Ovis aries: one gene and its partners. The protein of the gene in region 3 interacts with the protein of the main gene of each other region in a biochemical or structural test. Links are inferred from orthologs where the notes say so. Each region holds a gene or a part of one and is shown on either strand. Other genes may lie near its edges. The genes, in order: CNOT1, AGO2 and TNRC6A.

What was found.
Region 1: the proteins of TNRC6A (region 3) and CNOT1 form a complex in vitro, tested with the Homo sapiens proteins (2 studies listed by BioGRID). The link is inferred for Ovis aries from reciprocal best matches to the Homo sapiens genes TNRC6A and CNOT1.
Region 2: the proteins of TNRC6A (region 3) and AGO2 form a complex in vitro, tested with the Homo sapiens proteins (2 studies listed by BioGRID). The link is inferred for Ovis aries from reciprocal best matches to the Homo sapiens genes TNRC6A and AGO2.

The regions. Positions count from the first base shown.
Region 1 is NC_056067.1:25,892,263-25,894,592, forward strand, and holds the end of CNOT1 (CCR4-NOT transcription complex subunit 1), read right to left. Parts: exon of another isoform or gene 1,166-2,330; coding exon 1,031-1,165; exon of another isoform or gene 855-1,030; coding exon 776-854; 3' UTR 513-775; downstream 1-512.
Region 2 is NC_056062.1:15,983,582-15,987,975, reverse strand, and holds the start of AGO2 (protein argonaute-2), read right to left. Parts: upstream 2,898-4,394; 5' UTR 2,772-2,897; coding exon 2,750-2,771; intron 1-2,749.
Region 3 is NC_056077.1:23,016,776-23,020,039, reverse strand, and holds the end of TNRC6A (trinucleotide repeat-containing gene 6A protein), read right to left. Parts: intron 3,232-3,264; coding exon 3,092-3,231; intron 2,557-3,091; coding exon 2,181-2,556; 3' UTR 511-2,180; downstream 1-510.

The DNA of each region.
Region 1 (2,330 bases), on a different chromosome or scaffold from region 3:
ATACTATTTGGCTCCTTTCTGCACAATTTCTGTAATATGAGATGGGGGAGCTTTAGGCCTGTTTTGGCTTCCCTTTATAAAAAGTGTCTCACAGGGCCCAAGAGGGTGTGTTCTCCAGCAGGAAAGAGAAAATGATGCTTTCCCAGCAGCAAGCTGTAGATGTGGGGAAGAGGTAAAATAAAAAACCCATGGGATCTCAAATGTGAACTCTGCACATGTTCCTAGCATATCAGATTCTACACATCCACATTTTTTAAAAACAACTGGGTGATTTTCAAGGTCCCTGTCCGTGTATTTTTTTTTTTTAAGTTACACAATATTTAAACTGGCTTTCTTGCTATTCTTTGGGACACCTGGAATGTCAGAAGAAATGGTGCTGTGCCCCACCCCCACTCCACCCCCAGACAAGTGCATGGCATCAGCAGCTCCTTCCATTATAAATTGGGCAGGTACCAGTTTACCTACTTGCCTTGAACACATTTTGCACAAACCCAAGAAGTTTCAGACAAAGGTTTTCTCTTTCATATATTTACACAAGTTCAAAATGATATTCACAGCATCTTCTAAATTTTGGCCAAGAGTCAAAAAAATGCATTTAAACTTTGGAACGTGTCCACATAGACAGGTAGCTGACCCAAACAGTAATTGGGGCAGATACCCAAGAACCAAAGGGCCGGGAAAGTCAGGAAGAGCTGAAAGGATCTTCAGCCAGTTTATGAACTTGGTACAGTGGGACCTCCAGGCAGACACATTTACAACAGAGATGTGGTTCCATCTAACTGGCACCTGTCCCTTCCATTACTTGCTGAGCCTGCTTTTGTCCCATGCAGCACTGTGCGACGGACTGGAATAACCTGAAGAATGAAAACAAGTACAAGCTAGTGAGAAAAATTCAGGCGTGATGAAACCTTGTGTCTTACTAATTTTGGCTACTACTCCCTTCTTAATTACCCACCCAAGCTGAAGCCATCAAATGATTATTTCTCCTGTCTTAAGACTGAAACAATGAAAAGAATTACTTTTGACTCACTTTTCAATTTCTGGGGCACAGTGTACAAATTCATGGTTCCAGAATTTAAATGCTGGATTTTTAATCAGCTCAATGAAGGTAATAAGAAGACCCCAAGGATGTGGCCTATTTACAATCAACCGTTCCAAAAGAACCCTGGAGAATGGAAGAAAAAGTTGATCAATGCACAGGAAAACACCAGATCATGACCACTTCTCCATTAGCTTTAGAAAAGGAAGGTGGATATACAGAATAGTTAGCATAAATAGATCCTAGAATTAGGTTTGAACCCCACCTCTTCCCTACTGAGCCTAGAACACTAAGGTAAATAGATAACAGATTACATGGCACAGAGAAGATAATCACTTAATACATACTCAAATAAGAAAGTTAATACTACTAGTACACATGTAAACTGGGGGTGATGATTCTTCTGAATGGCAGTCAGTATTGGCTTAAATATTCACATCCTTTGACCTAACCAACTGTACTTCTAAATTTATCCTAAAGACGTAATAAAGCACAGGAACAAATACGTGAGTACAAGGATGTTCACTGATGCTTTATATATAATCACTAAAAGGACTTTTATCATCTGAACATCTAATAATAAAATACTAATTTTTAGTATATAAAACTAAGGAATATTAATACCTAGAAGCTAATAATAGGTTAAGGGGTAGGTTTAACAAGTCTAGTCCAGTGCTTTAAGTTTGCCTGTATCTCTCTCACTAGGATGTACCCATTTCCTAATCTGCAAATGCTATGCATAGTCCAAGCAATCTGCAATAGATGCCTAACTATTGTTAGTAAAACACAAGTATGATCCTGTTATTTCTCCTGCTTAAAACCTTACAACCTACAGGTAATAAAGACAAGTTTAAGCTCTTCAACATGAACTTTGAAAGGCCTGATGCTTCAGGACTCAGGTTAAATATGCTGACAACAACACTTGAAAAAAATCCCTAATCCATAAAAATAATGGTACCTTGTGTTGAAAACTACTTTTTGGTTTCAACAATGATTAGTAATTCTGTTTGTGTGTGTGGGTTTTTTTTTTTTTTTTTTGGTGCCCATCAGACTAATTTTCAGGAGGGCAGGAACAAAGTCCTTTTGTTCACAACTATTTAACACATGGACTTCTCAGGTGGTTCAACTGTGAAGAATCTGCCTGCCTGTGCAGATGCAAGAGATGTGGGTTCCATTCTTGGGTTGGGACGATCTCCTGGAGAAGGAAAGGCTATCCACTCCAGTATTCTTGTCTGGAGAATCCCAGTATTTGTCCAGTGTTATTGTCTGGACAAAGCAGCCTAGTGGGCTA
Region 2 (4,394 bases), on a different chromosome or scaffold from region 3:
ACAAGACCTGTTTGGTGTGGCAGAAGTTACTTTGTAGCAGGTCTGTGAGGAATGTAACCCACAAGAGTCTGAGCACAGTGAAAAAACTGACCAACAAGCCCCCTTCAGTAGGCAATACTGAGATTCCCTTTAAGGTCTCTAAGCGGTTTGGAACGAAAAAAAAAATTGTTCATCTATGAAGGTTCAGGGTCACAGAAGAATCCACCCATCCTAAACCACTAACTCTTTCGAATAATTTTAAAAAAATAAACAAAAACAAAAAACTAAAAAATAGTAACTACCTAACTTTAGAGTCCAGATACCAATTCACATACATAATAGCATTTCCTAACAGACATAACAGTCCATAACAAGACTCTATTTTTAAAGTTAATTTACTTAGTCACTTAATAAGGGTATTAAAATGGGAAGTAGCAAAACTATTTGTAATTTTTTCTACAATCCAGTTCAAATGTCTTTTTATTATTCTAAACTAGGAAATACACTAAAAAGAGTTTCACCGAAGAGACTCTATTCCAGATATCCCTCTTAAATAAAATTAAAAGCCTGAGTGTGTAGAATAAAACTGAACTGTATCACAGCCTTATAATTACAGCACGCTTGTAGAGCCTGAAATTTGGGTTCATTCCCATCCTGCCGTTCACTGGCTAAGAACTATCCTACAGACTCATTTATTTTTTCAACCAAAGCTGTCCGATTTCAGAGCAGGTTTATCCACGAACAGTGAATGAGAGGGCCCCTCCCCACCAGGCCACGATGCACAGGCCCACATCACAGCAAGATTCTTCCAAGAGCCATGGAGAACCCGGAACGAGCCTGGAGATCCAGAGAACTAAACCTTTTTGGAAAATAAAACAGACAAGAAAATATCCCAGTGCACAGCACACAGCACTGGCGAGCGGTTCTTCCTGAAGCTCGTGTTTCAATTATACTCTAACACCCGAGCACTGGGTCCAGTCTACATGTAACAGGTGTTTCTTCTTGGGGGTCAAGGTCAAAAGAACCGAAAGCCACTTCTCTAAAGGGAGTGTATGGAGAGTCTGCTTGGAATCACACACATTGTCCTACTGCTCGCTGGCTGGCTGACCTTCGAAAGGCTCATAGCCTCTCTGTGCCTCTGCAGTCCATCTTCAAAATGACCATCAGCAACTTAGCAAGCTGTCCAGTGGCTCAGTGAACATCAGACACATCACAAAAGCTTGACCTTCCCCAAGGTTCTTCACTTTTTCTGGGCCTCCAACTTTTACATTGAAAATCTGAAAAAATGTTCAGTGTAGTGGCTAAGACTTGCTGGGTTCCTTCAGAGGGATGGACGGGGAGATTCTCACTCACCCAGGTGTGGGGGCTACCCTGCCACATCATGGGTGGGTGCTGCCCACCCGTTCTAAGAAGCCAAGTCTGTCTGCCCCCAGGACTGTGACTGTGACTGGAGCCCTGGGCCTTTCCCCACCAGGGCTGAGTCACCTTCCAGTTAAAACCATTACAGTTAAAACCATTCTTCTATCAAATTGCTGACAGCAATTTAAAAGTTGCTCTGGCTCAGCCTTGGAGAAGCTTTCTAACTAAGTGACATCAGAAAACAAGACAGTGAGTATTCACAAGGCACAGGACTGTTAGTGAATAGAAAGTGTTAAGGGATCCAAATGGATGAGAAGAGCCTGAAGAGGTCCGGCCAAAGCCCCAGCAGCAGGAGTCTTGGGAGGGCCAGGGCCCACAAAGGGCAGGACCCAGCCGGCAGGGCCTTCAGCCCGCTGGAGCCTGGTGGACAAAGGGGACAGGATATGCCCTGTCCAAGTGGCAGGGCCAGCGGGAAATTTAGAAGCCACGTGCCTGGCGGGAGAAGGGAAAAAGCTTACCAACATTTGACCACTTTCTTGCCTCAGCAAGCTAATCGCCCTTCTACTCTGCATTTCCCCCAAAAAAGTTCTTTAAAAAATGTGTTACTGCTCTAAGTTTTTCAGAACTTTTCTAAAGAAAGGGAGGCCGGCTAGTGAGAAAAGATGCTAAGGAAATCAGCACATCTCCTCACCTTCCTCTAGTTAACTGTAAAAGGCAATTAACACTTGAATAAGGAGCCTGTGTGTCTGGAATGAAAATGAGACGCGCGCAGGTTAGGGTTTTAGGGCGCCTTCCTATCCCTCTCTGTCCGCGGTCCTAACTACCAGCAAGAATTGGCCAAAATTCAGCATTTCCAGACTTTCCTTCGGAGAAGGGGCCGCAGAAGTGCTGGCAAAAAGAAAAACGAAACTGAGAGCGCTCCAGGCTCGCCGCGGCTCGGTCTGCGCCCAGCGGCCGCGCTCCTCCCCGCGCCGCCCGCACCCCGAGTTCAGCGCCCCCGGCCGGGGCCTCTCCGCCCCCGGGCGCTTCGAGCGCGGCCCCGGCCTCGGCCCCGCCGGCCCCGCGCGGCGCAGGGGCCCAGGCGCCGGGCGCAGGAAGCCGGGCAGGCGGGCGCCCGGGCCTCGGGCCTACACGCGCGCCGCCCGGCCCAGTCCGCGCTCCGGCCCGGTCCCAGCCCGCCGGGCTGCGGCGGAGACGGGGCGCGGGAAGGGCCCAGGCCGCGCGGGGCGCCCCGACGACTCGGGCCCGAGGAGGAGGCCGGGGCCGCGCGTCCGCGCTGGGGCCGAGGGAACGGCCGGCAGCCCCCCGCGCCCCCCAGGCCCCCCGACCCCCCGGCCGCGCTCCCCCGCCCGCCCGCGCCGCGCTCGCGCCCGGCCCGCCAACCGCCGCGGGGAGGAGCGCGCGGACTCACCGGGGCCGGCTCCGGAGTACATGGTGGCGCCGCCGAGGGGCTCCGGGGCCGAGGGGCGGCCGCGCGCGCGCCACGGGCCCCGACGCCGCGAGCCGCGAGGGAGCCGCCGGCCGCACGATCCGCCCCGGCGCGGCCGCCAAACAGGTTTACCCGACGCGGCCGGGGCGGCGGGCGGAGGCGGCGGCGGCGGGCGGGCGGGGGAGGGGGGGAAGGGGAGGGGAGGGGGAGGGGCAAGGGAGCAGGCGGGGGAGGGGCGGGGCGGGGCGAGGGAGCGGGCGGGGGCGGGGCGGGAGAGGAAGGGAGGCGCGGGAGGGGCGGGGCCCGCGCGGCGGGGGCGGGGCGAGGGGCGGGGCGAGGGCGGGGCGGGCCCGCGCGGCGGGGGCGGGGCAGACCAGCGCGGCGGCCGAGGCGGGCGCCGGGCACGGCGGACGGGGCCGGCGCCGGCGAGGGTGGCGCGAGGCCCCGTAGCGGGGGCGCACGCGGGGCCGGGGGGACCCTGTAGCCACTCAGAAGCGCGACGCCTCCTCCGACTGGGCGGAGCAGGCGGCGCGGCGCTGCCCCCTCACCCCCGTCGCCGAGACCGGGAAGAAAGAAAAGAAAACATAGCCCTCGCCTCCCCGCGCGCGCGAGCGGACCCTTCCCCATCCCGAGCCCCCACCGCGCCGGGCGACCTGGGGCCCCGTGTGGACGCGGTGCCGCCCGCGCCCCAGGGCCCCGGCATCGCAGCCGGGCTCTTTTAAGCGATAAAGGAGGAAACAGGAATGTCGCGAAGGTTCCTCCGGACCCGGAGCTTGAACTTGAACGCGCCCGGGTCCTCGCACACTACCACACCGCCACCTCCCGGCGGAGAACCTACCTAGAGAATCCCTGTAAAGAGCTTCAGGTTTTGGTCAATTTTAGCCGCTATCCGTGATCAGATCAAACTGTAACTCCTCATTCCAGCCCTCGGGGCCTCCCCTGTTCCTTTACGGACCCCCTCGTGCTCCGCCGTACATCCCTGTGTTCGCCCCCCTCGTGCAGAAACGTTCTCCCTCCAGCCAAACCCTTGCATCCAGTTTTCGCTTTTCAGAGTCATTTCCAGGGAGGCCAGCCAGAGGTCAACACCTTTCTCCCCTGCTTGATGAGGGATTAGAAACCGGAAGGTGAAATACAATCCAAAATTGCTTGTCATCTTTTTAACATATTTGCCTGCTCCTTTCTTCCTCGGGTAAGCAAGTATTATCTGACACCGTGTACCTGTGGCTGTGTTCCGCTGGCCTAGCATGGTACAAAGATGAACGGGAGTTCTGCCTGCAAGCGTCCAATAGGTTTGTTTCTCTCTCTGCAGTTCTCAAGGACATTCTTAAATAAATGCACGAGAATCCACCTGCCCTCCAGAAAGAAATGTCAGAAGGCTTCCATCTTCACCGAGTAATCGATATGAATGAGGGGGTCCCATGGCATCAGCCTCAGAGATGTCCATTCTTCCCCATCTAATCCTCTGCCCACCACCCCCACCCTCATAGCCACCCAGACCACCTCTCCACCTGACCCTCATGCTGTGGAAACACAAATCCACAGGTGACCCTAGGCAGCTACTCAGCTGAACGTGTGTTTAGGAGCCCAGGTGGCCTGGGTAAGAAGGTACGCCAGGGTGGGACTGGGT
Region 3 (3,264 bases):
CTTACACCTGGCAAGTTGGAGCATGATCTGAAGTCATACGCTGAAATACATACACAGGTTCTGTCCCCGAAGCTCCTGCGGTGAGGAGCGAGGGCCGTGAAGGGGGAAGAAAAAGGCCAGTCCAGGCTGTGGCATTTCTCATTTTGTAACAGAGGTATGAGAGTTAACACTAAGAACAATGTCAAGTCATTAAGCTTCATGTTCCAAATGGTCTCTTGCTGAGGCTTGAGATGGGCACAAATGGTGGGGAAGATGAAGTCACAGGAGAGTTTGAGCAACAAGATCCCAAAGATGCTCAGAGAGGGTAGGAAGGAGCAAGCAACAGTTTCCCATTGTTCTCACATTATTTCAGGGTGAAAGTGTGAATAAGTTCGGATAAAATGTTCAAATATTTGCTTAGATTTTTTTTTTTTACTTGGTTGCTCTATGAGAACCCTCATACATAGCAACTTTGAAACTTTCGTTATAAAAAAGAGCGTACAAATAAATTCACAAAAAAGAGACAGTTAATGCTGAGCAGCCAAAAAGTCATGGTTTATTATATCTGAAGAAAGTTCATAATTCAAACACAACCAGACTGTACATTTTACAATCACATTCTATTTGTAAACAGTTAAAAGCCACTGACTTCTTTTGCATCTTAGGACACAAACAGTTAGAATCAAGGCAATGAAATGATGGCAAATTCTGTACTGTTAAAATTTTTACCCTTGTTTAGTCTCTCTTCTTTGACTAAGCAAGCATTATAATACCATTTGTGGGCAAAAAAAGGGGGGGTGGGGAGAAAGAAATTTTAAAAATGGTGTATAACTCGTTAGTTTGCAACAACATTTAAAATTTTCTTTATACAACGAACAATTCTGTAAGCCCAATATCTTGGTTACAGTATGCATAGTTACTGATTTCGGCTTTAAGGTACAACAGTTAAACATTAACACAGTCACGAGAGAGCGGAAACAGAGAGCCACTTGATGGGATTACAAAAAATTATTACCTATTGATTATTAGCAAACCATCATCACTCACTAATAAAAAGACAGCATCTGAAAGCAGAATCTCAAACTCCAGCTTTAAGCATTTTTTTGTTTTTTTCTTTTTTTTTTTTGGCAGAGAAAATTCTTAAACAGAGCAATATGTAGTATCAGTGCTAAAAGTTGGGGTTTTTCTTTTTTCCTATAAGAAACTACAAGGAGTTTTTTTTTTTTTTTTTTTGTTTTTTTAAACTGGGGAACTGGTTTTCCTGAGAACCATGCTCTTTGATTTAGGACAGAATAGAAAAACAAAAGAACATGGCCAAATGCTGCTCCTTTTTCCCAGAGATAGAAAGCATCTTTTAAATCATCCTCCATTTTTTTTTTTTTGTCTTTTAATTTTTTTTTAAATGATGGAAGAGTAAACATTTTTTTTTTTTCTCAAAAAACAAACAAAAAAATCTGTAAACAAGAAGGCTCAACGTGGGAACCTTCAAAACAAAATGGAAAGCCTATTCAAAGTGCAGGGCCCGTCCTGGGTGGCAGGTGGGCTGCAAGTCACAGCTGTGGCCACAGTTTTTCAAACTGCAGAGTGAAATTCTTTAGTTTTATAACATGAAAAACTGGTGCAATACTTTCATTTATAGTCCTAGGTCAGTATCATAACTTGATCTCTTAAACTCCACGATACCACAATAAGGTAGGCAAACATCAAGGCATAGTAGAGAGCGCACACCTTAAGAACATCCTTGAGTAAACATTTACACTGGAACAGCTGCCCTCCCCATATTGCCGAGTAGACGGAGAGAACACCCTTCAGTGCAAAGTTAAAAGCTCATACATTATCAGCCCAAAAAACTTGTTTGCAAAAAGAAGAGAAAAAGAATGAATGGGGGGAGGGGTAGGAACGGGGGAAAAAAGAGAACTCAAAGGCTAAACATGATGAGTATACACAAGTGAGCTCATTCTATACGGTTTAGCATGTATGGCGCTATTTGGGAGTGTAAATAGATAGATACCTTTTCACATTATAATATTGGCCTGCATGATTCAAGTATTCAAACTGATATGTTTCAGGGAAAACAAAGTGGAGAATGTGCAGAGAATAGCTGTTCCCACAGGTGGCCCCTGGCTGCAGGCGGCGAGCCCAACTTAGTGCTCCTTTCTCTCGAGGCTTGAGGTCGAAGTTCGTGAGTCTAGTCTACACTGTTACATGGACTCTCCACCCCCACCCAGGTGGTCAACAGAAAGAAAAGCATTAATGGGGGATGGGCTGCTAATTCCCCGGGGGTCGCTGCTGCTGGGAGGACCCCACAGGCTTGTGGAATAATGTGGGGTCCCCCAGAGGGAAGTGCCATGAAGGTCTCCACAGTTAGTTCCCGACAGCCCAGCACCATTCCAGTGATTGAGATCGGTCCGGCTGGAGAATGAGTGGGAACAGTCGAGGGAGCCCAGCCGGCTCTGGCTGGACCCGAGAGACTGCCAGCTGGGAGAAGGGGTCAGAGACTGACTTTGTGCAAAGAAACGACTGATCTCCTCTTCACTGGCAAACTCAGCAAGAATAGTAGTGTTCCCCAGTACACACCTGGAGGAGAGAGACACAAGCAGGCCTGGTGAAGATGGGGGCCAGCTGAGGGGTCTGAGCCAAAGTCAGGGGGGCATATTGTCGCCTCGGAGGGGGAAAAGAAGAGGGCGGGCATGCAAGGACGCCGAGGGCCCTCCCGCCAGCCCGAGCGCGCCCCGGAGGCCACATGTGGTAGGGCACAGCGCCCAGGGCTCTCCAGACCCAGACGTGCCGCCCAGCTCTGCTGAGGCGTCAGATCACATCCTGTCTCCTAACGGGAAATTTAAGGGACTTTCTAGGGCCACTTTTTTTTTTTTCTAGGGCCACTTTGATCTGGGGTGATGTGCTCCCTTCTGAACGTTGCCCTTGGAGCCAAAACACAGGAGGCTGCAGCTGCTCTGAGATGCTCACTGCGGGGCCACACGTGCCGGTCCAGGGGTGGTGTGCGGGGTCACCGGAGGTGCTTCCAGCCACCCGAGGGGGCCCTAACAAGAGGATTCCGAACCTGCACCCCCAGGGGCGTTTTCCAGGCGCCTGCGTAGAATGGGCAACTTACATGTGCAGAGACTTTTGTGCCTTCACTACCTCTTCTTTTGAACTGTAACGGACCAAAGCGTTTCCATGTGGGAGGTTCAGGTGGAATGTTATCAGTGGGCCATGCTGCATGCACAGAGTACGCAGAGTTGAGCCATCAATCTAGGAAACAAGCCAGGGAGCTGCCAGTTAGAC